4 linked regions of the Lepisosteus oculatus genome follow. The protein of the gene in region 3 interacts with the protein of the main gene of each other region in a pairwise test. Links are inferred from orthologs where the notes say so. Each region holds a gene or a part of one and is shown on either strand. Other genes may lie near its edges. The genes, in order: cysteine and histidine-rich domain-containing protein 1, cdc37l1, hsp90ab1 and ddx24.

Region 1 (7,790 bases), on a different chromosome or scaffold from region 3:
TAATGAAACTTTTCTGTATTTTCAAAAAGAAAAACTTGTGTTTAAATTTCATTGCCCAAAGGGGGTGTCTTACCCTTCATGAAAAATAGGTACTCCAGCATGATATAGACAGGTCTCCTCATTGCTTTCCGGCCCAGCAAAAGTCTATAAAGTTGAAACCCAACACAGGAAACTTAGATATTACTAAACTACGCCTAGTGACAAAATCCTAAAGGATTTCCCACTACCCAGAGAGAAAACAAATATGTAAAGAGATGACACATGAATCAGAAAGAATTGGTTAAGTTTCTGCTTTGAATTTCTTATGTTGTAATAAATGACAAGTGAACCAAAAATCCAACAGAAAAACAGAACTATATCCAATGCACAAACCAGTAACCAGTTTCCTAGGACAATTCCAGTTTTCTCTTCAAACCAATTCCTGTTGCCAATTTTTCCAATAGTGAATGTATAAAATGAATTCAAAATAGACTGAAAAATAAAAATTGTAACTGAAAAACTGGAACTGGTCTCAAAATTGATTGTTTTATATCTTTAGTTCCTCTATAGACATTATTTTTTAAATTTCTCTATTTTACAACACTTGCAAATATCAAGAAAAGTACCTTGTTACTATGTTTTCAAAGTTATATTTTCTTCTATGTGCGCATTTACCTTTGAACAGCCTCCATTTGTACACGATGTACCAATTTTCACTTCTTCTCCCTCGTTTTCTGAAAACAAAAATGTTTATTTAGTTATACAGTAAATGGCAAAGTAACAAGTGTTAATACACAAATATTTTCACAATGTTAAGAATTATTACGTTAAAAAACGTGCTACCATTTACCTGACTTTTCTTGATCATTGACTTCTGAGAGTTTTAATTTTTCTAAAGCCTGTTTCAGTGAAGGTGAAACTTTATATTGCAGCCTTACAAATGGCTCATCGGCACTGTAAAGGAAAAAATAAGAAATATTTTGTACATGACTATGTGACAACTTATAAGCAGAAAACCAAAAAGTATCAAAAAGTACTTAGATTTTAGGATGTAGAAACCTTTACCTTGGTCTTTGGAAACTTTCTACCGGTTTTGGGCCCTGAATCACATATTCATTGAATTTTGATTTTAGATCCTCTGTTGAATCTTTTTTATCTTCTGTCTTAACAGGCTCAGGAGGCTTCTCCTTGTTATGAGGACCCTTTGTACAACCCTTGAAAAAAATTATAAAGGGACACATTCACCTTCACAATTAATTTTTCTTGAAAGACTTGAAATAATTTTATTTATGAGCAAATTGTATTTTCAAGAAATTCGTGGAGCTATACAACACCACAGATAATACACAACAGAAGAAAAAGGTATAGCAAATTGACTTACTGAAAATGAAAGCAATAAATATTTCACTCAAAATCTGTCTTTAAGACAGTTTTGAATGCGTTACAAAACTGTAACACATCTCTTACTGATGTGGGTTACATCACTCTTAAATCTTCCATTTCACTTTATACTAACTGCACAGATTTTGGATTGAACGTCTCAGACTATTTGGTTTAATTTTTATAATCAGAATCAAAATGATAAAATAACTGTATTTTAATACTTGATATGGCACTGTCCAACACTTTTCAATTAAGTTCTGTCACAAAGTACTGAATCAAAGACAATATACTTACTGGGATGCTCAAAAAGTCTGAAAAGTCAGTTGTCCGTCTTTTACAGCAAGACCACCCCTAGACAAAAAGAAGATGCTACAGTAAAAAAATCATGCTTCAAGCTTTAAAAAGCTTAGTGCAGTCTGAAAACTTTTTTACACAAACCTTCAAGGCATCGTGAAACACGGGTACTCCAGGATGATACGTACAACCATCTAGAACAGAAATAATAAACAGTAGATAATCGGAAAACACTAGAGTACATTGATTAACATCACATGGACTTCAGTACTGCAGATGCAAAATATTACCCTCATATTTTTACACTGCTTCAGTCAGGATACTAACGCACCTTTCAGGTATATTTCAACCTCATTCATTCGTTATTTCGACAATGCTACAATCAGACTTAGGTTGGTCTTTACTTGAAACATCAGGAATTACTAACCGGTCCTGAATCTGGTCGACTGACATATTAACCCTAGAAGTCCCCAGCTATATAATATAATCAGCTGGGTAATGAAAATTAAAAAGATTTGCAATGCATTCGATCCCTCCCACGCACACACATATTGCAAGAGTACAAATAAATCAGATCACATTACCCAATTTTAGATTCAACCTTGACCACACGTGGGATCAGGGCATATGATCATAATGCATTGTTAAACGTTTATATTACACGAGTTTCTTATAACTTTCCTTTACAAATAACCAAGGCACATCGAAAACCGGCTTATTTTGTGCCAGTAAATGAAACTAGCTGCTGAAAATCGGGATGACCTTTCCAGAAAATTCTTCCGGTTTACCATTTTCTAACAGTATGTTTGATATACTTAACTTAATTTAAAAGACCAATAGATGTTTAATTCAAAATAATTAAATATCTCGTTAAATAACGCTACATACGTATAAAACACATTTTTAAAATAACACATGCTTGCTGCAGATGGAAACTGATGTCACCAGTAACTGTTACTAAGTAACCTAAAAGGCGAAGTCAAAATATAAAACTAATATAATAATAATAATAGTAATTAAAACATTTGCATCCCTATCGTATTCTTGTATATTTTAACACACGTGAACTTACCATCAGGATTATCCTCGGGGTTAAAGCGCTGTCCGCAACCTTTATTATAACACAGCACAGACATCATAAAAAAACTGCGGAATTTAACAAATCCCTATTAAAAGCAGCAACGTTGTTATAAAAAGATAAAAAATACGACACCACAACGACCCGAACTTTACGTATCAGATCACAAAAACAATCACACAACGGCCCAAGCAGAGGGGTCTGTGCTTAGAAGACACAAACAGTAGCCGCACCGCACTCCATTCGTTTGCACAGATACTTCCGGAAATTACCGGGGCCTTTCGGGAAACTTCGCGAAGTTTCTGGTATCGGAAATCTTCGAGTATCTTCGAGTACCTTCGGACTGACGTAAAGCCGCCACAGAGTCCGCTCTTCTTTTCACAAACGCGGAAACAGTGGCGTCTAGTGGAATTTATGAATATTGCATGGATCTCGTTAACATCAGAAAATGAATTCCACAGAATACAAACGGTATGTTATGAATGTCACGCCTTTATGCCTGCCTGCATTTTTTTTTAACAATTGAATTAATTGAGCTAGGGCAGTGTATGAGCTGCAAAGAAATAAGCACAGGGCAATTCCACATTAAACGTTTAAAATAAAGAAGAAAAAACAAAAATAAATTGGCTGAGGACTGTACAGTACTTCAGGTGTTTGAGAGAATGAGAGAGAGAGCAGGAATATGAAGGAAAGGAGATCAAATTGAAGATAATATGAGCATGGGTAGTGTAAAAGTTAAAAGAGATGGAATTCTTGGGTAATAATTCCAATCAGGATTTCTATTTCTTCAGTCATGGTTCTCTTCATCATTGTGGCTTTTTTGGTCATTGTTGCAAGGTCAGCATAACCATATCAGCCTGCTTAATAAGTATCATGTTATTTTCTAAATCTGCATTTTACAATATGGTAAATTCAGTTAAAATTAAATTAATAATTTAAGTTACAGTGTTACATAACCATGACTCCATACCCTAATCCAGACCTAACCTGATCCCTCACATGAAGCAGTCACAGAATTCACAGTTGTGAGTTGTACCTTCCGATAGAAGGTTAACATATTAAAACGTTTATCCCTAGAAGGGAAATCAGGAGAAAATGCATAGAAACAACACTGCTTCACTCCATCAACACACATGTACAAACATAAGGGTACAGTCACATGGATGAGGATATTTTTCACTTAAATTTCTCTATAAACGTAAATAGCTTATGTCGACTCCAGTACTTTAATTATGAGCGTTAGTGTGTGGGTAGCACTAAGGAATATTGCTAGGATTTTTTTTAAAAAGGGGCATTTGAAAGTTGTCGAGTACTGAAAAAGAAACAAGGCAAAACCATAGATTTATTTTCACCAAAATACAACTATCTTTTTTCATAAATATCTGATACATATCCGTTTTTATTTTATTTCCCGACCATTCACTGGATTCTGCTCCGGCTTTTAACTTTCGTCTCGCCTCTCATGGATGGATTACTCTGCTCTGGACTTTAATTCACCCTGGATCTCCCTACGGACTCCCTTTGGACTTGTTCGCTTGGACCACGCCTCCCCCGAGCACCAGTGCACCGTTGACACGCCCTCTTGTTCGTCTACTGGCCCCGTTCCTTGTCTTCTCTCCCCGCGTTTTTTCCACTCCCTTTCTGGATTCTATTGTCTGCATATGGTCCTGAAAAAAACGTTTCGTGACAAAAACAGGGTCCATCACTCTCTAATGTGTTTTTATGATTATGATCAAACATACAGTATGTCTTGTTAGATTGCAGCCCATGCTATCTGTACCATAGCTGTGCGTCAGTGCAACCTGATTCCCAGTTCTTTAATTGATACTAAATAGGATCAACACATTAAATGAACTGATGTCTGCAGTAAATACTACAAAGGAATGAAAAGGAAGTGTCATAGAGCAGATTGGGAAGCCTTGATCTAGGTTTTCCACAGAATGAACAAGAAAACATAACTCTTCATAAACTCTTCAGGGCAAAACAATTTTTGTTTCTTGAAACAAATAACAACAACAACCTTCAGTTATCCTGCAAATCAGCAATAGCTTGAACTCTATTTAGTAATTCCCTATTGGTTTAATTAAAATTCTCTATGCAGTCTTCATAACCGAAAACTAATAAGATAAAACTAGACAACACCTGTTAGCAGCTGTTGTTTTTCTTTTTCTTTTTTACTGTAGCCATCTGAAGATACTTATGAAAATGCCTACAATTCTGATATGGTGAAAGGAGAAAATTTAAACAAACATACAACAACACAAGCAAATATACATAGGTAGGTACAGTAATTCCAAGTTCAAAACAAGAGTTCATTCAGGTTTTCAAGGCATTCAGTGAACAGAGACCATAAGACTCCCTTAGCCAGATGAAACACCAGTGTATTTCCTACCGCCAGCAAGCACCAATTTTACTGTACAGCTGGATAGAGTAAGGTAGTCAGGGTAAAGTACCTAACTCAAAGTATGACAACTGCGCCCGTACCTGAGATTTGAATCTACAACTAGTTCAGAGACCTATTTCTCTACTCTATCCCCTAGGTGGGTTGTACTTTTGCTAAATTCTTCCTAATGCATAGTGGTGCAAATTGTAATCAAATGGATGAGAAGATTACTCCAAAAGTCATAAATGCACTTTAACTAACATATAGTAATGAGAAATGGAAATGCAAAGCCATGTTTTATTTAATTCTTATCAGGTATAATCCTCGTTCTTGTTACTATAATCAGATTTGAAACAAAAAAATACATTCTTTGATGATGTCAGTTTATTATTTTGTTTTAAATAATAAAGACTATCAGAATGAAAAGAACGAGATGCCAGTTTCTGGTATCACTCCTGTTAGGCTACTTTCAAGGACTATCAAGGTCATTTTCATGTTGAAAGACACACCACCCATCAATTGGCTTGTACAATGCAATAGCAGTGTTGTCACAACACCTTCAAATACAGTATGTTGTCTTCTAGCAGTACAATCAAGGGTGCATTCCTGAGTGGATAAAACACATCAGTCTCTTTTCTGTCACCTCAGATTCTGCCTGACTCACAAAAGCTGATTATTTCCATGTTTAACATCAAGACATTTCCTTACCCAGATATGTACAGAGTTTTTAAGCAGAGAGTTTGCTATGGTCAAAGCATTCTTTCTGCACTCTCTTATTCTATTACCACTGCACTCTAAAGACATGACATTTCTCAACCCTAGTGTTTTTGTGTTGTTTTTTTTTCTGGATAAGCTTCTTAATTGTCAAAGCAGTGTATCTCAGTCAATGTGTCACACAGACAGTCCACCTTTAATAGTGTTGATCATGAATTAACCACTTTTGCAAATCCTGCAATCCTGCATTTTCACGTAGTAAATGTCTATCACAAGAAAAGAATACAACACAGCATTACATTCAATCACATCACACCTTATTTATCACGCACAGCAGTTTTCAAATGCCACCAGTGGTTCTTTGATGTTAAATTGCACTTTTTTTGCATTTTGGTTGTGCATCAGAATATGCAATATATGGTGAGCACAGTAAATCTTAACTCATCTGTAAATTTAATTCAACCTGACGAAGATAAAATATGCAGATTTCAAATTAAATTCAGTGGCTCCATGGCCTTGAAGAAAAGCTCAGATAGATATGCAGTAGATACGGGAATCCTACTGTTTATATTCAGTGTTAAAACAGACATAAGAACAGACTCTGTTTAAGTTAGCCTTTCCTTACATTTATTCAGTCGTAAATGCAGGAGCTAATCCTTTTACTAGAATGAAAGCCATCACCCACTGCAGTAGCATGATAAACATGAACAAGAACTGCAAATATAGACGCGGGCCAAAATGGAAATAATGACAAGAAAAGATACATGAAAGCAAAGCACAATCTGATTGAAGGCTGGTCCAGTAGCAAGGTTGGCTGATTTTCTTTTCTGATCTGCTTTGAAGAGCTTTTTTTCTTTACCAGGGGCTGTGTTCAGGGTTTCCTTTTTAAAAGTGCTTTTTCCAAAAACATAATTAGGTCTGTACTGTCTTTGTGTGATCCATTTAAAGCATAGAGTTGGATATTTACTCTGATGAGTTTTCAATTTAACAATTGTAATTCATAAACAGACATCTGCAGATACCGAACATTTTGGAATCTTTATATTCTACTCACCATGCTAACCTTCAAATCTCAAAGTAGGTATAAAACCCTCAGGGAATGCTGTGTTCATACCCCAGCTTGTTAAGTCAGTCTAAAATCCCTCTGATGGCCTAGATTCCAAGGGTTCTGCAATATGAAGGAAGCCGTCAGTGGGAAAGTGTGACTAATGTTTCTCTACTAAATCGTGTACAATCATATTTCCTCGTGGTCTGTTTGCCCTTCTAAACAGCAATGCTATTTCCTAGAGCTATACTGTAAATATTATTTTTCTCATACCTGGTTTGATATGCTGCAGTTGGTCAAAGCTGGTCAAAAACTGCATTTTTTTAAATATTATTTTTTACTTGGTAGCTACTGTCACTCACTGTTGAAGGTAAAGATTGAAAGCTGTTTTTAACCAATTTTATGCTGAACACCATTGTATAACACATGAATATACTGAAATTAGAAGGGCAAAACAATTTACAGGTATTCAGGTCTTCTATAGAAGAATAGAAGTATTCCAATTTACAAGATTCAGAGAGTTTCATGCTCTTTAAACATGGGTGGCTTTCTTATTTGAAGAGGAAAGGTTCTTTTGTAGAGACAACAAGATGTTTTATAGGCTCTTGCTGGCTGGTTTCTGTTCCAGTTGAGCTCTTTGCTCCTAAAAAGTTCCTTAATTGGAAGCACTGCCAGTTTATTTTTTCTACTCCAAAGTTGGAGATTCAAAGTTGGACATGAAGAGGGATCAATTTCCCTACGGGATCAATAAAGTCTTATCTATCTATCTCACTTATTACTTATTGAAGTATAGAAGGTAACATATATTACTTACAGTATGTATTAAATAATATTACTGATTACTGAATATTAACGATTATATTATGTTAATTATTAAAAGCAGCAGTTTAAAAGGCAATGAACTTTCCGGATGA
Region 2 (7,829 bases), on a different chromosome or scaffold from region 3:
ATGGCAGTCGGCAGCTGCACTTCAACCTGCCCCATCGCAAACATCTCCGTCGGTGAACCAGGAAAACACGCCGAAAATCGTCTTCTGAGGCCAATTTCTTCCTTCTCAACCAGAATACTAAATTGGAAACACTGAAGCATAAGTGTTAGGTTGTGGACAAACAGCTCCCACTCCTCGAGCCAGGTTCCACCAATTCCCATCCGGAGATCTTGAGAGCAGAATCCCTCAAACCAGCTAAAATGCCCCCCAAGCGATTTGCTCCCAGCCTGAATTAACCCCGCTCCCACCCCGTCTTCAGGTGGTACTGCCCATCCTGCAGATCAGAATTACATCTCAATTCCACTGCAACTACCTTGCCATCTTTAGAGATTTCTTACTTTGGCACTTTTGGTACGTCAATTTCATAACTCATCTTGTTGTAGCGACAGATGCTATCAGGGCGAGGGACCAAATGCACCCAGACATGTCTCAGTCACTAAAAGATTGCAAAAGATGAACAAGGGTTAAGTACAACTTCCTGGTTGTTATTTAATGCATTTATTTCTGATCAACAGATAGCATTGTATGAACTGAAACCAGAAACGAATATATTTCGAGTAGTAAAAGAGGTCAACTTCAAATTATGTGCGCTAGCTGTTAGGATACAGTGACACGAACAGTCACTTTTTTCTGAATGTTAAGACACGTTTTCTATAATAGGTCTTGAAGGCAAAGCCAACAGTCATCACACATGACTTTGTCAAACCAGAAATCTAGACAATTAGAAAATAATATTTCTGTTATTACAACATTACCCTGCTAATACCCATAACAGTCCGCATTTGATATATTTTTAAAGCTCAGTTTCAATCAGGTCTAATTTGAAGGACCAGTTTCTTGCACAAAAGCCCCTTCTATGTCCCAATATAAAAACTACAATTTTAAGATCCACTAGGGATTTTCCCTTATTAAAATGCACAGGCTGCATTTTATTCATTTGAAAAGTAAAAACTCTTATATAGAGTGTACTTTTAATATGGGCCACCGTTTCGTAAGGCCTGTAACTTCGCCAGAGCTCTTGTGCATGCTATCCAGTCATAGGACGTCAGCTTGTCAGAGGCAAGTAGCTTTGTCTCATTAGATATCATTCAGTTACAGTGAACTGGCTGCATTCTAAATCCAAGATTTTAAGCTAAATATATGAACATTAAAAATACATTACTCTAGTTTTACTGTTTTAGTTTTAGAAAAATGGAAAACAGGTTTTGAATATTGGCTAATGTATTTGGCTGCCTTTTGATTTAATGATTATTCTTGACTGAGTCTAAAACACTCCAGTGATTATTGTATAATCACTAAAATTACCCCATAGCTTGAAGAGTGGATTTTGCATGTGATGAAACCTGCTGAAAGTCACACCTGGTGAAAATCAACGAAATAACAAATTAACACTGCAAGGAAACATCATGTTCCACTTATTGAGAAAACAATGCTGTCAACCCATCAGTATGTTGGAGGCTGGAGTAAGTCAGCACACTGTCCCTCATTGTCAGGGTTATTCACAGCCAGCAAATTCTAACTTGGCAAGATGTTAAAGCCAAACACAGCCCGTCAATGATCTGGCCACAGTCAGGGAGACTATGAGTCATGGCATCTCGCTTGATTGTCTGACATTGCCAGAATCGCTGGGTGAGGTCCAAGTGCGACAGTCTGTGGAGAAGTGTCTAGTCCCTTACAGAACTCCAGTTGCAGCGATTGAGGGCAACCTCACTGCACGGCACTGCACTGCACTGATGAACTCCTGCGAGTTGCCTTGCTGTACTTCCTGCAGGCTCGTCCTGACATGACAACATTCCTGGAGAACAAAACATGTCCTGCTACAGCCCATTTAAAAATGTTTTGTTTCTTGTGAGCTGGAAATGTGACAATTATGCCATCGATGCCCTACTCATCAGTTTTAAGCTTCACTGAATGTTTGCAGGATGAGCTGGAAAAACATTGGACATCTGGGGCTCAGAGACCAATGAACAGGCACAGTGTTATCTAAGCTCTAAAATGGGAATGGGACTGAAGCCCACATGTCAGCATCTTGCAACCTGATGCAAAGCATGTATCAAGATACATGTACACTGCTTATGTTGCTTCCAACAGTAACCACCCACACTACTAACCTGTGACTTTCACAGGAGACACCCTGTTAATCACCCTGCTCATGACAAATGCTAATCAGGTTAATTAGCTTGCCTTGCCTAAATAAAGGCTGCTCAATAAAATGTCAGAACACCAAGCAAAAAAGACTGACATGTTTCTGAAAACAAGTTGATTTTGAGGCTCAGGGTATATTTCGTTATCCATGGAAGAGTGTTAGTTTCTGAAAACAATGCGGTTGAATTTGTACTTGAAGTATAAAGTGAGTTGCGGGTTATTGTTTAGAATGTAATAATAACATGCACTGCAAAGCACGTCGTTTGATATAGCTATAGTATGTTAGCAGGAATGCAGCATTTTGTACAACTTTTACATTACTAACACGCATTTACAATAATAACAAATTGGAAGACCGTAATATACAATTTTCAGAGATGGGTTGTAATTCGGAAGAATAAAGTAAGTAAACAACGAGATTTTTACAAATTCACTACTGATCTTGTCGAACACATTTTAAAGTGTGTGCATTTACTGCATGAGAACAGCGTGCATCTGTTGACTTTCAGCAACCGTTACAAGACTCATCTCTGTCTACATTCAGCAAGTACCTGCTGGCACAGTGGCGAACTCAGGAGGCTGTTCGAACCGACACTTTCACCATCTTTCTCCCTAGAAAATCCGGGAGATCCACTGCCGAACCACTCCATCTTCGCTATTGTCTCTCCCTTCCTTCGAATCTCTGCGGCTGCAGTAGGATAAGAACAGAGAGAATGATCCTGTCCGAATCAGGGCATTGGAAACTCAGAATCCCTTTTCAGAAAATGACATAAACGTCCACCGCCATGTTGCTGACTCACACAGCCACGTGACTCTGGCGTGCGCGGGCACATGACTGCTGTGTTGTGGTCATATGACATCTACGGGCAAAGAAAAGTTAGCTGTTATGATTGTATAGAAACCAAGGCGAATTTTGGAAAGAGCTTTATGATTTTATGCGACACGAAGACTACGATTAGCAAAACTGTACTGAAGACAAATTACGAGGCGGTCAAGTCTCCATTTTTGTAATAGTTTTTTCTTTGTTCCTCCTGCTGCGAAATATGCTCCACTGTAAATTTAATATACAGTAGTACATTTCTAGGCTGGTGGATTGTTTGTTTTCATACTATTCTTGCTTTTATACCAAGGCTGGGGAATATTAATTTCGGTTTCTGACATATAGAATTAGAACCCCATTTAACGTTCCGTTCTTATTTGACAATCAGATAGCTGCTAAGTTTAATTGAAGACACGTTCCTCTTTGAAAATATCGTGTAACACATCAATTGTATGGAATTGTGTGTTAACATCCGTAGCTATTTTGGAAATAACACTTTGAGGATTTCTGTATAAAATTCCTATGTGATTAGGAAACCTTTTGATTCAGGAGTCCATGCTTCGTAAAGTCGTCTTCATTGACATAGCTTAACACAAACTCTTCAGGTGTTAGCGGTTTTTTTTTCTGCAGAACATAAACGCCCACATAGCCCGTACAAATTGTAGGGAATGTTTTCCACATCTACTATGACTTAGTCGATTTTAACTTAACTATTTGAACCGTGATGCTCTCATAAAAAAGAGTCGCTAATTGCGAATTTGTATTTTTCTAGTAATTATGTAAATAAAGGTCGTTGCAAAAAAAAAAACCCTGATCCTTGAATAACAGTGTGCTGAATCATACCCTTGTTCGCGTTTACCATAATCAGTGGAGGCACAGAAGAGACCAACAACCTCTGGCCAATTACAGATAAGAAAAACGCTGCAGGAGAGGGGAATAGCCTATTCAGATTACAACGGTGAACGACAGACAACACAGTAATGCTTGAAGCTCAACCGTAAAAAAATACTATAAGAATAAATATATTTTTTTATTACACGCTGGCCTTATATTCATGTATAAGGTGTTTAACATAAATTAAACGTTACCTTATTTTTCTGAAGGCTTTAAACAGCAATATTAGCCATGCTCTGTATTTATATATATGTATTATGTGTTCTTATCCAATGTTATTTTGACTTTCATTTACATTTTATTCCTTTTTTAGTCAATTAATTCATAAGTGAATGTAATACTAACATGGGAACAAGTTAACCTAATAGTTTGACACGTTATCAAACAGAAAGGGTGAATTAACATTCCTGAAGATTTAAAACGTGTAGAATATTTAATCTTTTCTTGTTCTTGCATGTCTGTAAAAAACGGTAAACCAATTCAAAACTTTTACTAAAATAAAACTTAACACATGGATAGTGTTACATCATGTTTATATCACATAACGTCTTTAAAAATAGTAACCACGTCTCTTGAAAAAGCGTTTTTTTCACATAAAATAATAAAAGCTATAGACAACATCGTAGAGACCTACAGTTGAAAAGTCAAACTTTAGTTTCTCTTGACAAAAGCAAGGCGGTGTTATCTAGACTAACCCTGGTAGAATTGCGCTGTAACCTGTTTCGTTTCATTCATCTCGTCCTTAATTGTTTTAAACATGTTGAGGAAAATTCAAAGTGTTTCTGTGAAATAAGTACAACGTTTTTCACTCATATAGAATAAATGAATAGACATGTGTTAGTAATAAATCCCGTATCATTTTACAGACTTCATTGTTTTTCTTTAATTTATTCAGCATGTGTAAGCAGAACTGGTCGAGGTTGGGCTGTAGGTGACGTAACTGTTGTCGTCAGAGCTCCCGGAAGTGCAGTGATGATGGTGGCTGTTCTCTGGTTGCAGGAACAGTGTGTTGATGCGGTGAGAAGATCGAATGAGTAGTTCTATAATTTGAATAAAAGATTCCAGATTTGGATTTTTAGGGACGAGGTATCCTATAGATCTGAATTTTTGCTGAAGATACAATAGCACTGTCTCCCTGAGGGGGCCGGACGCTGGACGAATAATGTCGCTCTTCCAGTCGGCACTTGATTTCCTGGCGGGGCCCGGCTCTGCTGGGGCTGCCAGCCGGGACCAGAATGACTTCGTAGGGCAAACCGTGGAGCTCGGCGAGATGAAGCTGAGGATCAAAAGAGTAATTGCCGAAGGTGAGATGCCCGATTCTGTAAATTTGTCGCATGCGATGCCCAGCATTAAATAAGTTAATTTATTTGAAGGTAAAGGCTACGTGGGCAGGTAGCACTGTCAGTGCTCCACTTTACCTGTGTGCAGGTCCGGCCTGGCTGGCTGTAAGCCGGTACGTGCAGCTGCACCTGCCGGCAGGGTTTACGAAAGAAAATGTTGTTGTGAGACAAAGCTGGCTGATGTGTGACGGAAGATGAGGAAAAGAAAGCTCTCATGCCTTTTGGATCATTTTATTGTGCTGATGAGTTCATGTGTTGATAGATCACCACTTGGCAAAACGTATGAATGAGTATCGCACTTGGAACAGTTTAGGAACATTCCTTTCAAAAGCAGAGAGGAACAGCGCGATGCACTTTCTCAAGGGAAAGTACAGATATCAAACAATCAGAACACAGGACATGAGCGGTACATGTTTCTCAAATTACTTTAAATGGCTAAAACGAGCTCCCGTTAAAGAACAGGCTAATTTTACTACACCGTGCCACGAAAAGTTTAAAAATATCACTTTTGGCTGCTTCTTGCTTTCTTTTATTTGTGCTACTTTTAGATTGAAGATAGAACGCCCAGGACATGGTCATTCATCATGTTGTGCAACCGTTCAGCACTGTAGAGTACGTGCTTATGACATGTCCCATTTTGGATTTTTTTCCCCAAGTACCCTACATGAAGGATTGCTTTTATAAAGAAAATCCCTTGTAGATATTTAAGTGTAAAGTAGTTTTGATATGGTGCAGATTTATAAGCCCTTTTAAGACTACAGTTGAACTTTCAGTTGCTGTTTTGGAAGACCTACTTGTGGAAATCTGTAGACTTTTATTCGGGATACTTTCAAAAATGTTTAATTAGGTAGTATAGCTCAGCAAAAAAAGCCATTCCCAAAAAGAGATATCACAATAGTGCAGTCTTCTTGGCTTGGTTAGCTTTTAAAATCCTTTGAAAAATAGCACTGTGGTTTCCACATATTCATCTTGCATTACAATTCACTTTTCTTAACTTTTTGTTAGATTGTGTTAAGTATGCTAATGTCGTGGGCTTAAACTGTTATTTGGTAGACAGATTATTCTGGGTTTTCACTACAGGAGCAATGCAACAGCCTAACCACAAGAGGATCATCCATAATGCAGTGTCCAGTGTAACAAGACATTTCTAAAGGCAATCAGATGAAACTACACATGTAGGAGATAACGAGCATTGTCAAATATGTGATTGCTATTCAACCTATCTTGGGTTTTCGTGGATACTAATGTAGTGTATTGATCCTAAATATCCTCAGGCTGCTAATACACCTACTGTAGAAGAATCTTTGTGAAATAACTTCCACACAAAATACTTTAGACAATGCTTTGTTCCATACTTGTCTGATGTAGGAAGAAAAAAATAAGGAATAAGTGACATATTCCAATGTATAAAATATCTGGTAGCATTAGTCCATCAACAGCAAAAAGATAGATTATAACTCTAAACCTATACCAATCACATTCCCCTGAAACGTCCTGAGTGATATTTAACTCTGTACCTGTTGCATATATAACATAAGAACATAAAAGATTTACAAATGAGAGGAGTCCATGTGGCCCATCTCACCCATTAAGTAGTTAGTAACTAAGCCATCCAAGAATCTCATCAAGCTGCTTCTTGAAAGAAACCAAAGTATTACCTTCAACATCATGGATTGGTAGCTTGTTCCATATTCCCAATTTTGCTTAAAGAAGAGTCTCCTGTTGTCAGGTTTAAAATGCTCTTCCAGCGACTTGGCATCTGTGTCCTTTTATTCCCGTTTTAACTGTTTATTCTAATAAGGTCCACTGAGTTTACTTTGTCAGTGTTTTTGGAGTATTTTAAATACTTGGAACAGATCGTCCTGTTGTCTTCTCTGTTCAAAAATTTTCAGTTTCAGTTCCTCCAGCCAGATAGTCAAAAGAAATCCAAGGACTTATTATCATCAATTGGAAACAGTACAGTTGGTACAAGACATCATTATCCAGATCGTGGATCATAGCTGACAGAAACCAAAGCGCATACTGTACAGGACAGGGAAGTGAAAGTAAATACAGGGATGAATCACTAGATCTAAAGGTGCAGTTTGTACAGGAGAGACTTGAGGTGGAGCTGGAATCTGATGGAGCTGTTGTTGTATTGGTGGTGAAATATATGTTCTTCTTCAACATATACGTATTAGTGAATTTAAGCAGAAGTCTATGAAATGTCAGTTGTAACCAAATACAAACTTATGTGCTGCTTCAGTTGATAAATTAAAGCAATAGTTATCTTGATAATAGTTTCTACTTTAGTTCTCCATAGATACATCCACAACCAGCAGAGACAAGATTAACAAAAACTAATCTTTGTGTTGCATTTTACAGAAATAATAAGCTAATAAATGCTATTTAAAAAAGGCATTGGAATGGCCCTACTCAAAATGACTGGGTTTAGTTTCTGAGTGAAGTTGTGACTTGACATTCACCTCCTCTTCTTATTCACTACTTAAGTGGTTCTAAACTATCATTCACTGTCAACATTGTTACAAGAAGCAAGCAGAAAGGCACTGCACTGGCATTTCAGTCAGAGCAGCTTTCTTTTGAGATGTATT
Region 3 (7,389 bases):
TTTCAAAATACTTACAAACAGAGTGATCGGATACCCAATGAACTGTGAATGCTTCTTCACAACTTCCTTGACTCTCTTTTCCTCAATGTACTCAGTCTGGTCCTCCTTCAGGTGCAAGATGACTTTGGTGCCTCTACCAATGGGCTCACCTTCAAAAAAAGTTTTATTAGTTAAAGGTTCTTGTTTTCTACAGCTTCAAGAGTGTTGTCCTGCTTTTTAGTAAGTCTTTGGCAAAAAGTAAAGTGTTCTGGAGAAAAGGGTTTCACCTGGCAACAGGTACCACTCCAAATATGAATGATTTTGAAAATATAATGCTCTGCCACCAGTTTTATGGCCTGACCACTTTGCAGGATGAAAATCCAAAAGCTGTTGAATTTAAGGTAATAAAAAAGGTTAATTTGTCATCTAACAAAGCCACATACCATGGTCAACCTTGACCGTGAAGGATCCTCCAGCAGATGACTCCCAGGCATACTGTTCATCATCATTGTGCTTTGTGATGACCACAACTTTCTCAGCTACTAGATAAGCAGAGTAGAACCCCACACCAAACTGCCCAATCATGGAGATGTCAGCACCAGCCTGGAAGAGCAAACATTGAGATAAGAGTTTAACCAACAAAAGCCATTTACTATTAAACTGTTTGTGCAATGGCACCGCTAAGACGTTACATTATTAATGTAAATTATTTTAATGCATTTCTCAGCTTTGTGATGCAATACCTGCAAAGCCTCCATAAAAGCCTTTGTGCCAGATTTGGCAATGGTTCCCAAGTTATTGATGAGGTCTGCCTTTGTCATCCCAATTCCAGTGTCAATAAGAGTCAGGGTACGCTCATTCTTGTTTGGAATGACATCAATCTTGAGGTCCTTGCCACTTTCCAGTTTGGAGGGATCGGTCAAGCTTTCATATCTGATTTTGTCCAGTGCCTAAAAATCCATAACATTTACATTTTAATAAAGCAGACAGGATTGAGAGGTGTTTAGGTAATCAAGAGACAAATAAAAATATTTTTACAATACTTTTAAAATGTAAGCAAGAGGTATATTACAAAACAGCCACAGCTGTTTTTAAATAAAGCAACATTGAACCAAGCTCGATGGAGGTAGGGTTCATTAAATAGAAGTTCAATCACATGTGACCAAAAATCCTGAGACACAGGGGACTCACATCAGAAGCATTGGAGATCAGCTCCCTGAGGAAGATCTCTTTGTTGGAATAGAAAGTGTTGATGATCAGAGACATCAGCTGAGCAATCTCCGCCTGGAAGGCGAAAGTCTCAGCCTCCTCTTCTTGGCGCATTTCTTCAGGCATCTAAAAAATAAAAAGTAAAAAAAAGAATGATGAGAAACACTCACTTATTTTTACACAAATACATACAGGGGTTAAGGAACAGCGGAGACTAAATAAAGGGCCCTGTTCAGCCACCCTGGAGTGCAGCACCCAACTGGGTGACATACAGCGGCCTGCAGCCCCACTACACAGCAGATTAAGTACAGAACATTTTCCAGTGTGGAATTCAGACAGGATATCAGGGTTAACAAGGCACCTTGGGACTACAGGGTGTGCCAACATCACATAAGACACTGATGGGAAAGGGATCACCAAGAAAGGGTATTTGTGCAGCCCTGAGCAGTAACTGACAACCGCTTTGACTTGCCTATCCCTGGATTACATACAGCACGTCTTGATTTTGTACTCTGGAAGATTAAGGAAAATTCTATTGTTTAACAATAAATCAACTACATTTTTCAAATGTAAATTTTGACCAGCAGCAAACTACTCCAACAACTGAGCTTCACACAATAAGCCATTAAATAAAGCAAACCTAAATCCAAAGATAACTGCTTATAAATGAGCTATTGTGAATACATGAGACACCTTAACTGAACCTCAACCAAAAACAGACTCGCGAGTCTCGGGGTAAAATGAAACCTTTCTTTGAATTTCGAGCTGCGTTATCGAGTACAGCAAGAGAAAAATGAACAGTGTGGCGCAATGCAGCATTCTCCAGCCTTCACCTGCAGTGTGCCAGCTTTTGGCAGCACAGTGGCACCCAATCATAGCTGGGAATGCAAGTTAAACATACCTCCTAAGCAACAAAGGAGCGAAGATCGTGTTAAAAATAGCACGATCTTCAACGGTAATTTAAAGAAAGGGAAGGGACAGACTCCATTTTATTTTCCGCACAATCATTCAATACATTCGAGACGGAAGTGACGCCGGAGCCGAACAATATGGCGGCACCTGCTATGCAGTTTAACGTAGAACACGTGGGTTTAACCTTCTAACAAGAATAAATAATAACTATGCTGCAAGTGAAAGAATAGCACATCTTTTTCACTTCGGCTTATCTAAAAAAAAACATAACGCTATCCAGTCGATTACACATTTTTTACTGCTTATGTCCACGGATAAATCGTTCACATACAGGAAGACAAAGCGTGATACAGCATGTTATTCACGTCAGAGCTAGCGATGTACTTATTTCATGGAACAAACCGGGAACGTCTGTAAGTTTTAGATCTCTTACAGCAAACTAATGTCAATCGGAGGTGCTGGAAATGTATCTATAGAATTAAATAGTTAATCATCACGATTCCATCAGAAACCATTGTACTAAACAACGTTTTAGACGCATATCTACCTTTGAGAGAAATTTACTCTGATCACTAATAAGCTGGAACATTCCCAGCTTCGGGGAACTAGATATTTCTTTTCTCCCATGTTTTATGTTTCTTCTCATTCAATCCAGCGATCAGGAGGCAGCCTTGTACCTTGGACCACTCTTTCGAAACCTCATCTCTCATCAATGTACGTTTTTTTTTTACAAAATTATTATGCTCACCTATAAATACCACATATAACACTCATAAAGGGGAAAGAAACGTACCTTTAACGTTTTAGCTGTTGTTCTTTTCTTGAAATAAATGCAACCACACAGGCTGATCCCCAAGCACTCTGACGCTGAGAAACTGAAAGGGATTTCCTTTTAAAAGACAGTATCTTTATACCCTCTGCGCTTGCCGATGTATCCATCCGCGTAAACAAGCGCTATTTCCCTGTTCTTGCAGCCTCCCAATGAGAAACTGGAATGGGTATTTATTCAGGTCTATGTATTGTGTAGTGCGTAATACGTAATTAGAAATAAGTAAATACAGTATTAGCCTTTAAATCATTGTATAGGATTTTCTAAAACCAATCATAAACACAGCACCACTGTGCTTAAGGCTGCAGTCTCTTGTCTTAAGGTCATTGCTCTTGCTTGGCTCTTTGTCAGTCTATTATGGGTTTTATTGCACCAGTTCAAAACTTTCCCCATCTTGTCGGGTACTGATGATTTATAGAGACTATGACAACCTGCCAACACACCAACCCTCGAAGATTTGCACGGGACAGCCTTGTAGGGTAAAAAAGATGATAACGTGATACTCAAATTTGAGGGCATTGTACATGAAACAAAAAAACGTGAGATGTGGTACTTTTCCATGTTATATATATATAAAATCGCTTTTTCGTCGCAAAGAAAATATTTTTGTTGTATTATTACATATATCCAAAAAATCTCAATAACACAATTGTGTTGGAAATGTATGTGAAAATATACATAAATGTAGTGTGGCTTTGAAATGAGGTTGGGGATCTAGCACTAGTATCTGGCAGTAGCTGCTACTTCCAAATCAAAATTATCATGAATATCAAAACGTCAACATTGCTATATGATACTGTACATTAATCTGCCTGTTGGCAAAACACTTACCCCGAGCCTATTTTCAGAACTGTCTGGTGATACTAATGATGACTGTTAATAAGATGACAGATGAAACAACAACAGTAAATTGTCCTATAGCTTTTAAGAGGCAAATTAAAAAAAATATCACAACTTTTTTATTGTATCTTTAAGGCAGGAAAAGTAGAAGTGTATAAACCATGTACACATCACGGTGAACATGGAGAAATATTGCAAGGCACCATTAGAAACCTTGGAAACATACTAAATGTGTAAAGTGTGGTAAATTCTTTAAAAAATAGAAAGGATAATGGATAATACCGTGCGGAATACGGTACAAATTTACTGTATTTCATTTTTCAGAAGGGACGTCACGAGAAGGGGTGTAAAGTACAGTACATACGGTGTATATCTGAATGCTATGGTATGAATCTTAATACATAATATACCAATATCGCTTTTACGTTAACGTTTGGTTATATTTTACTTGTGATATTTTGTTAATATCCTCTTCCCATCTTTAACTCCAAAATGATTTTTTTCTATAATACCAAATTCTTCATGGCTGAATTGATATGCGCTACATTTCTACTTCTCACGTGTGATTCATTATGGAACTCCTTACTCCAACGGAAGGATACAGACATACCCGCGAATGCGTGCTTAGGTTTTTCCAGAAATTTCTGCATAAACCCCGCCCGGGTTCCTGACGTCACAGGATGTTAAATGCGGTGTTCTTGCCGGGCTTCGTTTTCGGTTGTCGTGCAACAAGCTGCTTCCATAGCAACTGCGCAACTGCCTCCGTAGTTAAATATATTTTCTTGAGCTGCATTAGAATTTATGTGTACAATCCAGAACATTCTTAATTTTGAATTTACGATTAAATATTGTGTCGATATGTGGTTATAAAATTTAGGAGAGTATGAAAAAAGAAAAATATTTAAAGTGCTGTTTTAATTTAAAAAAAAAACGATAATAATAATATTACCACCCCTTTTTATTATACAATAACATAACTTATTATACAATAAATAATTTATTGTCACAATGGATGTTTAGTTTTAACTATCTAGTTCTGGTTTGCTTTTAATACTATTTTTTATTGGGTTGTTGCTACCCATACAATAAGGACTGGTTAAAAGGTACTCACAGATCCTTCAGTCTGATGTTACGTATCGTAAATACGGTATGTCAGAGTTTTTTAACACTGAAATACGGTCAACATTTTGAGAATATTAAATATGGTAGGTATGTTCAACGTATTTTTATATTTGATATAATTTTAAGGCTAATTTCATGTACAACACCGGCACATTTATCAGCACATTAATACCATCATCATAATAATAATATGATGCTTCCAAAAAAAAAAGAGAACACAATGTTTCGGCCGTGTCCACGGCCGAAACGTTGTGTTCTCTTCTTTTTTTCAGCGTGGAATAAACCTATTACTTGTTCCTTTGCAGCCTACGCATGCTGATGCAGCTACCCACCTGAACTATAATAATAATAATAATAGCTTACACTTATATAGCACTTTTCTGGACACTCCACTCAAAGCACTTTACAGGTAATGGGGATCCCCTCCACCACCAACAGCAGCCATAGTGCGCCAGAACGCTCACCACACATCAGCTATCAGTGGGGAGGAGAGCAGAGTAATGGAGCCAATTCATAGAGGGGAATTATTAGGAGGCCATGATTGGTAAGGATTACACCCTTACTCTTTTTGAGAAGCGCCCATCCAAAGGATGGTGCCTGTTTACAGTGTAGTGTCCCCATCACTATAATGGGGCATTAGGACCCACACAGACCACAGGGTGAGCACCCCCTCCTGGCCCCACTAACACCTCTTCCAGCAGCAACCTTGGTTTTTCCCAGGAGGTCTCACATCCAGGTACTGACCAGGCTCACACCTGCTTAGCTTCAGTGGGTTGCCAGTTGTGAGTTGCAGGGTGATATGGCTGCTGGCCGTAATAGCTACTAGATTTCAGTTCACCTGAGAATTGTGAATGAAAACAAGATTTTCTTTCAGTATCCATAGTATTTCATACATATTAGTTTAGATAGGCTGACCTTTTAGAAAAAATAAAAGCTACTATTGTCCTTCAGACATAGAATGTCCTTTGAATTTTGCTCTAGTATACAGTACCTCCTCTTCAGTACTTCATTCAGGTCACATAGTTTTTGTCCATGTTTGTCAACAACATAATAAATGCTTTATAACATTACCTCTTTTCCCCTGTAGCGTGTGTTGACGTCTATTTGAATATCTACTGAAAACTAGCATTTTGTTTTTCGTTTACAATACTGTTCTGTGCTTCATTGATTTTTCTTATTTTCATGATATACTTGTCTTTTGGAGCCAATTTCCCGATCTACAGCTCTACCTTTTATGTCTCTCTTTTGCTTTTAGTTAAAACAAAAGTTATTTCTTCGCCTTGGTCTCAATGTCATTTCTCTCAAGTGTCCTGCTTAGCATCTCTTGATTTAATCTGTGCAGCTCTTTAGAGTCCTTTGTTAATTTTCCACGTCACATCATGCCAGATTGGCATCACCTTGGGATGAATATTGCTTCCCTCAAAGACCTGGATATTTTATTAATTTATTATCCTGTGATGCATTACCTTCTGGTTTGGGTGCAGTGATATGTCTGATGCAGTTGAGAATAAAAAAGAAGGACCTGTAGCTTTTGTGTCCTGAATGTGGAATTCAAATGAGAAAAACTAAAGCCTCCTTTTCAATCTCAGCATTATTTAATTTTTGGAGTATAGAAATTTCACAAATACAAGTATAGCCACAAATTCACCACACATCATTAGGCTAACAGATGGATTGGTACCAACACTAGTTGCACACTAAACAGTTCTGGGCTATCTTTCTCTCTGCTCACAGATTAGGTACTGAAAGTCAATGTTCTTGCTAAACATTGAGGAACTACTGTAAAAGCCAACAATATTACAAAAGAGAGTAAGAAACACTGTTTTATTACAAGTGCTGGATCTGACTTTTGCAACCTTGCTGTCAGCAGCTCTCACCAGAGCAGGATAAGGCTTATTGCAGAAGTGCAAGTGACATCAAGATAAACTTGTGGATAGAAAAATTGATTTAGATCGTAACACTCATCTATCAGGTTACCAGCTTCACATTTGGTGTTGCAGACTGGACCACAATATTGAGAAGTTACAACTGTACACACTCATCTTCATTGTCTGTCACGGGGTTCAACTGGTTTCTGAGCCATTATTTGCCGTCTGCTGTTGGACTTTGTTTTTTCCTTGGGTCTTAATTCTGCATTGGAGATTCTAAGGACATACTGTCTTAAGAGAGCAGCAGATTTCAGTGCAGTATTCTGTGATTGCCCTTTCCATGCTTTTACATGCACTATTGAGCTCACTCGCTCAGTTTTTCTGTTGACTACTTTGTTTTTCTTATCTTCCCAGCGTGATCTCAGTTTCACCACATTCACGATTCTATTACACAACAAGATTCTTTATCCAATATGAAGCCACTAGACATAACTACAGTATTTTATACTTTTTAAGCATAGGTTGATTGAGGTCAGATAACTACTCCATAAATTTCATAGCAAAACCTTTGGTTTATTTAATCTGTTGATTCCACCTACTTACAAAGTGTGTATTCCAAGTGTAGTGGGC
Region 4 (7,665 bases), on a different chromosome or scaffold from region 3:
CTGGATGAGATTATCGGATTAGCTGCTAGCACATCAATGGGCTAGAAGGACATCCTGAATGTAACTTTTTATGTTCTTAACATACAGATATTCATTGAAAATAAGAATCTATTTACAAGACTGTAAATAACTGTGTCCTGTGCCCAGTCCTGAAGAACGACAGGGTTTTTTTTTATCCTGGCGGCTTGCCAAGAAAAAAACCGTTCAGCCCTTTTACCGTATGTACTGATAAAACAGAGTGAGAGCACTTTGTGTAGTGTGATTTTTTTCCGAGGACTGGTGCCTGAATCTGACTACTGACCTGTAAACATTGCCACAGCATCTAGATGGTGCTTCACCTGGACTGCAAGTTCTCTAGTTGGGGTGAGGACGAGCCCCAGCAACGGGTTCTGTCGCTTGTCTTCCATTTTGGACTTATTAGTCTCTTGATTGGAACTGAAGTCAAACTCCATATCCTCTATGACTTTAACACAACCCAGCTTCTGCGAGTGACTGTCCCCCTCCCAGTCCTCTTCTGAATCCCCATCTGAATCCCCGTCCGCTGGTGTCTCCTGGGGTTCTGGCCCAGACAGACAGACTGCCCCCACTTCTCTCCCATGTTCTTTCGGGTTGTCAATCATCTCCTCGCTCTGCCCGTCCTTTGCTTTCCTCCACTCCAAAATGGCATTGATCATGGGGATGCCAAAAGCCAGAGTCTTTCCGCTTCCTGGTTGAAGATAGGCATGGGATATGCATAATGAACCGATGGTGTTATTCACACGGGGAAAAATCAAACGTATAATCACAAACAGGAAATATTTACCTGTGTCCGTTTTGAAATGTTACTTGCTTTCACAATGCCAGAAGTAATTTGCACATCAACCATTTTAATAGAGGTTTGGCTGGGATTATTTCAAGGGATATTTGAATTGATTTCTTATAATGTATTCAGTTACCAAGATAAGAAAACAAATGTAATTAAATTTTGTATGTATTTTAAACAATAAATAAACATACAGAATGATAAATAATAAAATAACAGCCACCCTAACATAACAAATAGTGAAGTACTGTATATTCTTTTATAACCAGTACCTGCTGGTGTCTTACTGTTGCCAAGGAAACTAATGGTAGGGTAGCTCTACTAGGACTGCAATCTGCTGATTTATGCAGCTCCTCATTTATACCTTCTGTTATTCTTTGTAAAAAAGGATCTGTACAGGGTGCTGGTGTCTATTCCGCTTTGACCCACAAAACCATGTTCAAAAGTAAACTCATCTCTTGCTAGACAACAGGACTCTCAGCCCAGTGACATTTGTAGAGCACATCAGAATCCAGACCAGACTGATTCAAATTTGATCCCACAGCATTTTCAGTTATACTGTCACTAGATATTGGTAGTGATGTTGTTCTGTTCAAAGAACAGCATCGGTTTTCACTCACCTGTTTCAGCTGCGCCTAATATGTCCATATGGTCTCTGATGGCAGGAGGAAGAGCCAAAGCCTGAATAGGAGTAGGTGCCTTAAATCCCAGGGAGCTTAGTGCCTGGAGGACTGGTTCTGGAATGAACAGATCTTTCCAAGCAGACGTATCCAACATCTGACTTCCTGACCCTGAAAGGGCAGCACTGGTCCAATTTTTCACCTTCTGTTTAGGCTTTGGAAGTTCAGCTACCTGAGGCTCTGCTACTGTTTTATTCTTTTTTCTTTTCTTTTTTGGCTGTGCCTGGGTTTGTATACCATCTTCCTGAAGAGAGGACATATCTTCCACTTGTGGCACTCCTTGAACGTCTTCTGCATCTTCACCATCTGCCTCATTTCCAATTTCAGTATCACCTACAGGCTCCATCTTCTGTGTCTGACTCTTCTTCTTCTTCTTCTTTTTCTTTTTCAGCTGTGTCTGGGTTTGTATACTGTCTTCCTGAAGAGTGGAATCATCATCCACTGGTGGAACAGCTACGGCAGTTTCGCCATCTGCTTCAATTCCAGTTCCAGGCTCCACCTTCTGAGTCTGACTCTTCTTCTTCTTTTTCTTTTTAGCAGGTTGCTTTGGCTGTCCATCACTGACCTCAGGATTACAGTCTTCCTCGACTGCCAACTTTCTTTTCTTGCCTTTCTTCTCCTCGGTGAATGTAGAGTCAACAAGCTTGTAGTCTCTGAGTTCCTCAAAGCATATCAGCCCTCCCATGTTCTCTTCTGAGAAGAGATCAGGGTCGATCTCTACTGGACTCCACTTTCCTCTCACCTGGATACCCCGTTTGGATTTGAACATGGTCTTAAAAACATTTGTCTTTGATCTTTTAGTCTTCATTTTTCTGAAACACAAAGACAAGGTCAAATTAACCTTTCTGAAGACTGGAAACCTTCTTCTTTGTTGTGAACCTAAACTTAATATTGCTTCCAATTAAAATTATGTATTATTAAATGTCCCGTATAAAATACAATCTCTCTAATTAACACTATGTAGTAAAGATAATATAAATGGTTAATATAGGTTTTTAGCTGTATAAAAACAAGGGCTATTTAATTCGTTTTCTTCACCATAAACACGACTTACAAAAAAACCCAATAATCATCAAAGAAAGAACGTTTGTAATATTCACTTTCTCTGCATCATTACGAACTGATAGTAGCAGCTTTAATTCTAAGAATTAGGCTACATAAGTTTTATCATGCAATGTATAAATACCCAATTTACACTGAAAGAAAAAGAACAGTAAATGTTTCTAAATACTGTTTCTGTATTACCGCAACGCTACATTTCATCTAGCGTAGAATATAGAGCTTTGAAATTGCAACGCATTATGATGGTAAACGTTTAAGATGTATGCCACCAGCAGGCATTTTAACAAAAATACCCACGCACCCACTGTACATAAAATGAATTTATCACTTTTTTGATAGCTTTCTCGTTTGAAGACAATATGGATCATCTACATTCCACATGAAAACAAGAAACACTCACACTTTGCACGAGGGCGCAGCCATGTCAATGTAGGAGGGCACAAGCATTGTGAACCAATCACATGCGAGTAGGTTTGAATAACTTTATTAACAGGTCACAAAATGCAAGCACGCTTTAACAAATTGGTTTGAATGTTAGAGGTTGTTCTTGCAATCCGGCTTTACTATTATTGTTTCATTGGTAATTGTCGGATGCTGAATTGCAGGATCATTTTGTATTTTGCATACAACTCTATTTGTATTTCCGCTGATTTAAATGTGAAAATTCAAAATCAAGTAACGCGTTTTCCTTCACATATAATCACACACAGACTGCATCGACAATTGTTTCATTTTGTCGTAGTTAAGAAATAAAACGTATTACTGTTTTGTGAGTAATTCAAATTAACTGCTGTAAAGATGTGTTGAAAACATTGAGGCCAAATGTATGTGATGGCGATACTTAGCTAGTGAAACTAAACAGCATCGTCTGACTGTACGAAGGTTACATTTTGTTAAACAAAGCTCAGATAACCTATTACATAGCATGTACCCTGTCATTTTTTTTGGCATCAGAAACAGTATTGCCTGTTAAGTTGACATATATATATGTAATACGGATCCGATTCATTTTATATTTGGTTATTTGACGTTTAACTACAGTAAGCAAACTTTCAATACTGAATATTAATATGTAAAAATAAATTATTGTCTACTATCTACTAATATGGAAATATTTTAACTATGCCAAACATGCAGTATCAGTGATTCGTTTTAAAAAAAGAAACACAATGGCCATACCAACACAGTTGTTTAAAGTTAATATCTTAGGTCACTGTAAGGTGTGATTATTAACCAAAGACACATTCGTAGATAAACCTTGTCTGTAAATAAGGGGTATAATAAAGAACTATAGCATGGGGCTTTGTCAGGTCTCCGACGCGGCTGTGTTTTTTTAACGCACAGTGCGGTAAATTTGTCAGCGCTGAGCCACGGCTTGCTGTAGTGCCGCGTCTCCATGGAGACCGGTTTAGGTGCTGCACTGTGCAGCTCTCTCTGTGTGGATAGTGAATGTCAGTCCAGGGATCCCTTTCCAGGCTGTCGGTAGCAGTGCAAGTGTAGCAAAACGTATTTTCGCCTTATTGGGTTTGATTAAGACTTTAAAACTGAAGACCTTAACTATTTAATGCCAAGTGAACTGTACAATAGTTGCCTATGCAGTATGCAGAAATCGTCAGACTGAATAATTTTACATGAAGAGCCGGCCTCTATAGAAGGAATAGAGTAGAGGACTTACTGTATGTAACGCTGAAAAGGAGAGACTGAAAAACAGTCAAGGAAGAGGCTAAAAGTTATAACTGGGTGGACACTGAGTTTTCGCGTGAACTGACATCGTTTAATCCTTCCTTTGGTTCTTTAACGAAAAGAGCAGACGCTGCCTATAGGCTTTTCAAAGAACTTCAACCTGAAAGCATTTGTCGAGGAAAATATCCTGTGCTGTGGCGAGACCAGGACATTTTAAAGAACTGTAGATTACACTAAATGGTCGTCGATAGAGTATATGATAACATGTTTTCAAAGTTATTCAAATCAGTCAAAATAATCATGTGAAGAAACACTCCGGATACCTATGTTTTAATGTTATAGACTGACACGACTGTAATCCTCTAGGCTGTAAGGCAACATACAGTTTTGCCGAAAGAGGCTTTGTCGTGGGTGGAATTCAGCTTTCCCCAAATCAAAGAAACCTATTGCTCAGTCACGGCAGAGACAAGATCATGATAGAGCATTGATACCAGCAGAGAGAAAATTTAGACTTAATACTTCAACAAAATGACGTTGAACCAGTCCAGTTTGTTCGGGCAAATAGATGACCTACAAGACCTCGCAATCATTGAAAGACCTGTACGCAGGAGTCTGAAGGTACTTTAATATTTATATAACACATTAAAAACGGTATTTGTGAATCTTGTAAATCTGTCTGTATCTGTTCGTATGTCAGAAATGTAATCTGTATCTTTCCATTATTTTTTGTGGAATGTGTAACTTCATTTTCACAAATAAGATGCTTAATGTGAATTTTAGGTATTTCAGATATGATATTTATATAATTGTCTGAAAAGACACTTTCATTAATTCTAAAAAAGCTGTCCAGCTGCTAAAATTTGACCATTTAAAACGCAGATTGGTAGACATACGGTTAATAGTGTTACATAAATGAATAATGTATATATCTGGGGATAAATTACACGTTCACAACGATTTTAAAATTTCATTGAGCAGCTGAAAAGATATGGGCAACAGCTGATGAAATGTATCTCAAATTATGGTATTCAAGCATAATTTATGCTGCATGTTGTATTCTACACTTTGTATATAATATTCTTCAATGTTAACAGTACGTGCTCTTTGATGCATTCTGTAACATACAAGTATTTACGACAACATTTAGAATTCTTGATCTGTCTGAAATTAATCTGTGTGTATCTTGTTGGTTAAAACATTAAATTCACTGCTCTTACTGCAAATGAGCCTCTAAAACTAGCTTACTATGTAATGGGGGTTCCCCATTTTTAGTGCGTGACGCAGTTTTCTGTCAGAATTCACTCTGGAGGAATCCTTTCGCCGGGTCTCCGGGTTTGTGAAAATAATGTTGTTCGCTGGACACTTAATTAATACTGAAAGACCTCAGCCGAAACCTTACTATGCATTTAACCCACTGAACAATTAAATGGTTTACGATTTGTAAACTTGCGGATGCTACATTTTATTAAACGTGATATATAATCGTTTTAATCATTCCTAATGTTTACCCTTGCTTGCGTGATTGATTAATTTTTTGAGGGAATTATTCTTCAGTTTGATTACCTTATAATGTACTTTTACAGCATGTTGAGACATACTGTGATGGAAAGCAAGTGATATTAATGTTATTGTGCATTGATGTGGTTTTCAGGTGTTTAGTCTAGTGCGGTGTTTTCAGGTTCGGTGGCATCATACGATATTCCTGGGGGAATGGGTATTTTCAAAGAGTTATTTTTCTTGTCTGGGGTTCTATGACAGCTTTTACAATGAAAAAGGCATTCAAGTAATAGGCTACTCCTACTCCTCCATCCACACACTCCACCTCCTCTCCACCTACATTCAAGAATGAAACATATTTCATTGTGCAGCACTCCATATTGTGTGAAGTAACGTTCGTTTGAGTCATTTTTAAATGAAAGAGGGCAATTCAGTTCTGCTGTTGTTCTCTGAATGTAGTATTTTTTGTAGATACATGATGTCGACCAAGTGTAGTGCACTATTAGTGGCTTGGATGGCCTGGTACAATACAGTGCCAGTAGTCACTGGCAAAGCTTACTCACCTATTTGACTGGGTTATGCCTGAGCTTGAGTTGTTTAGGTCAGTGGTTACCTGGTTAACAAAAATTATATAATAAAGCAATTTGGAATTGTGCATGTGTATGTTCCAGAGTGCAGCATATGAGTTGATTTTGATTTTTTGCTTTTATGCATAGTCCGAAACCTCCCTCATTACAGGGCTTGACTTTTTACTTAGTAATCTAGTCAACACATTCTGTTTGGATTTTTTATTCACACTAAATATATAAGTACAGTGCTAGTGTTAAGATCATTCTTATGGTGTCCCATTTTCCGATTTGTTTTTAAACCTAGTATTTTATTCAGAACCCAAGTGCTCAAACTGGAGACTTCCAGAGGAAGTAATTTGCAACAAATGTGAGCAAAACTCACATTTGTTGCAAATTAGAAGAGAAGAAAAATAGAGCATAGTGATTGAATAAGTATTCAGACCTTTGAATTCAATTTTTGATGCAAGCAATTTTGGCAGCAATCGTAGACAAGTGTTATTAGTTGAGTACCACTGTGACAGTACACACTGTCTTGGTGTAAATGTTGCTCATTTGTCTAGGCAGTTTTACACTTTGTTATGTCAAGTTGCTTGGGGAATGTATATGAACAGCAGTTTTCTAGTCTTTCCACAGAATCTGAAATGGAACTTTGACTGGGCCACTCCAGGGCCACTCTGCACTTTTGGTCATTGTTCAGATGAAAGTTGAATTTTAGTTAAGTTTAGGTCTGAAGCAGATATTCTTATCAGATTTGCTAGTGTTTTACTCCAACTCTATTCTCTCAAGCCTTGAGAATCTTCCCAGTTCCTGCTGAGGAGAATCAGAACTATAGGCTTGACTGTTGGCATGGCATTGACTTACTGTACTGTAGCAATACTTTCTATTCGGTTTGCAACACTTTGCATTTAGACCAAAGTTTTCCAAACCTGTCTTGTCTGACCACAAAACCATTCGCCACATATTTGCAGTGCCACTCAGGAGCTTAGTTGCAAACTCCATGTGATTTGAGATGTTTTTTTCAATACCAACAAGCACCCTTTGTGAAGTGAACAAAATATTGTTTCTACCATTTGAGCCAATGAACAGTGATTGCTGCTTGGTCTGAAGAGCCAGTCTAGTCTAGGCAGGGTTTGGGTGCCTTCCATTTCTTAATGATTGATTTCCTCATGCTCATAGAGATATTAATGGTCTGAAATGTTTCACTCTCTTTTCCTGATATGTGCATTTCTACCACTTTATAAATGAGTTGTTTAGAAAATTCTTTGGTCTTCATAGTTGAGTCTTGGCTTGAAATTCACTGCTACACTGGGGGACGTCAGAGAGTTACTCGTACTTAATCTGAAATCTGAGCCAATATTATGGCAAACAGACA

What was found.
Region 1: the proteins of hsp90ab1 (region 3) and cysteine and histidine-rich domain-containing protein 1 interact in binary tests that used the Homo sapiens proteins (3 or more experiments, as listed by UniProt). The link is inferred for Lepisosteus oculatus from reciprocal best matches to the Homo sapiens genes HSP90AB1 and CHORDC1.
Region 2: the proteins of hsp90ab1 (region 3) and cdc37l1 interact in binary tests that used the Homo sapiens proteins (3 or more experiments, as listed by UniProt). The link is inferred for Lepisosteus oculatus from reciprocal best matches to the Homo sapiens genes HSP90AB1 and CDC37L1.
Region 4: the proteins of hsp90ab1 (region 3) and ddx24 interact in a two-hybrid assay, tested with the Homo sapiens proteins (2 studies listed by BioGRID and IntAct, with this or other methods). The link is inferred for Lepisosteus oculatus from reciprocal best matches to the Homo sapiens genes HSP90AB1 and DDX24.

Annotation. Positions count from the first base shown.
Region 1 is NC_090700.1:11,117,309-11,125,098, forward strand, and holds the start of cysteine and histidine-rich domain-containing protein 1, read right to left. Parts: upstream 3,012-7,790; 5' UTR 2,796-3,011; coding exon 2,729-2,795; intron 1,851-2,728; coding exon 1,801-1,850; intron 1,714-1,800; coding exon 1,657-1,713; intron 1,194-1,656; coding exon 1,045-1,193; intron 934-1,044; coding exon 830-933; intron 714-829; coding exon 655-713; intron 145-654; coding exon 74-144; intron 1-73. UniProt on the Homo sapiens protein: Regulates centrosome duplication, probably by inhibiting the kinase activity of ROCK2. Proposed to act as co-chaperone for HSP90. May play a role in the regulation of NOD1 via a HSP90 chaperone complex. In vitro, has intrinsic chaperone activity.
Region 2 is NC_090698.1:23,642,885-23,650,713, reverse strand, and holds the start of cdc37l1 (hsp90 co-chaperone Cdc37-like 1), read right to left. Parts: upstream 3,010-7,829; 5' UTR 2,835-3,009; coding exon 2,736-2,834; intron 1-2,735. Other genes in the region: gak (cyclin-G-associated kinase), read left to right, coding at 5,061-5,202. UniProt on the Homo sapiens protein: Co-chaperone that binds to numerous proteins and promotes their interaction with Hsp70 and Hsp90.
Region 3 is NC_090697.1:43,351,798-43,359,186, forward strand, and holds the start of hsp90ab1 (heat shock protein HSP 90-beta), read right to left. Parts: upstream 3,004-7,389; 5' UTR 2,894-3,003; intron 1,315-2,893; coding exon 1,171-1,314; intron 930-1,170; coding exon 723-929; intron 583-722; coding exon 423-582; intron 150-422; coding exon 16-149; intron 1-15. UniProt on the Homo sapiens protein: Molecular chaperone that promotes the maturation, structural maintenance and proper regulation of specific target proteins involved for instance in cell cycle control and signal transduction. Undergoes a functional cycle linked to its ATPase activity.
Region 4 is NC_090703.1:18,815,286-18,822,950, reverse strand, and holds the start of ddx24 (ATP-dependent RNA helicase DDX24), read right to left. Parts: upstream 3,012-7,665; 5' UTR 2,992-3,011; coding exon 2,945-2,991; intron 2,935-2,944; exon of another isoform or gene 2,857-2,934; coding exon of another isoform or gene 2,846-2,856; intron 2,295-2,845; coding exon 1,423-2,294; intron 707-1,422; coding exon 302-706; intron 1-301. Other genes in the region: ppp4r4 (serine/threonine-protein phosphatase 4 regulatory subunit 4), read left to right, coding at 4,756-4,845. UniProt on the Homo sapiens protein: ATP-dependent RNA helicase that plays a role in various aspects of RNA metabolism including pre-mRNA splicing and is thereby involved in different biological processes such as cell cycle regulation or innate immunity.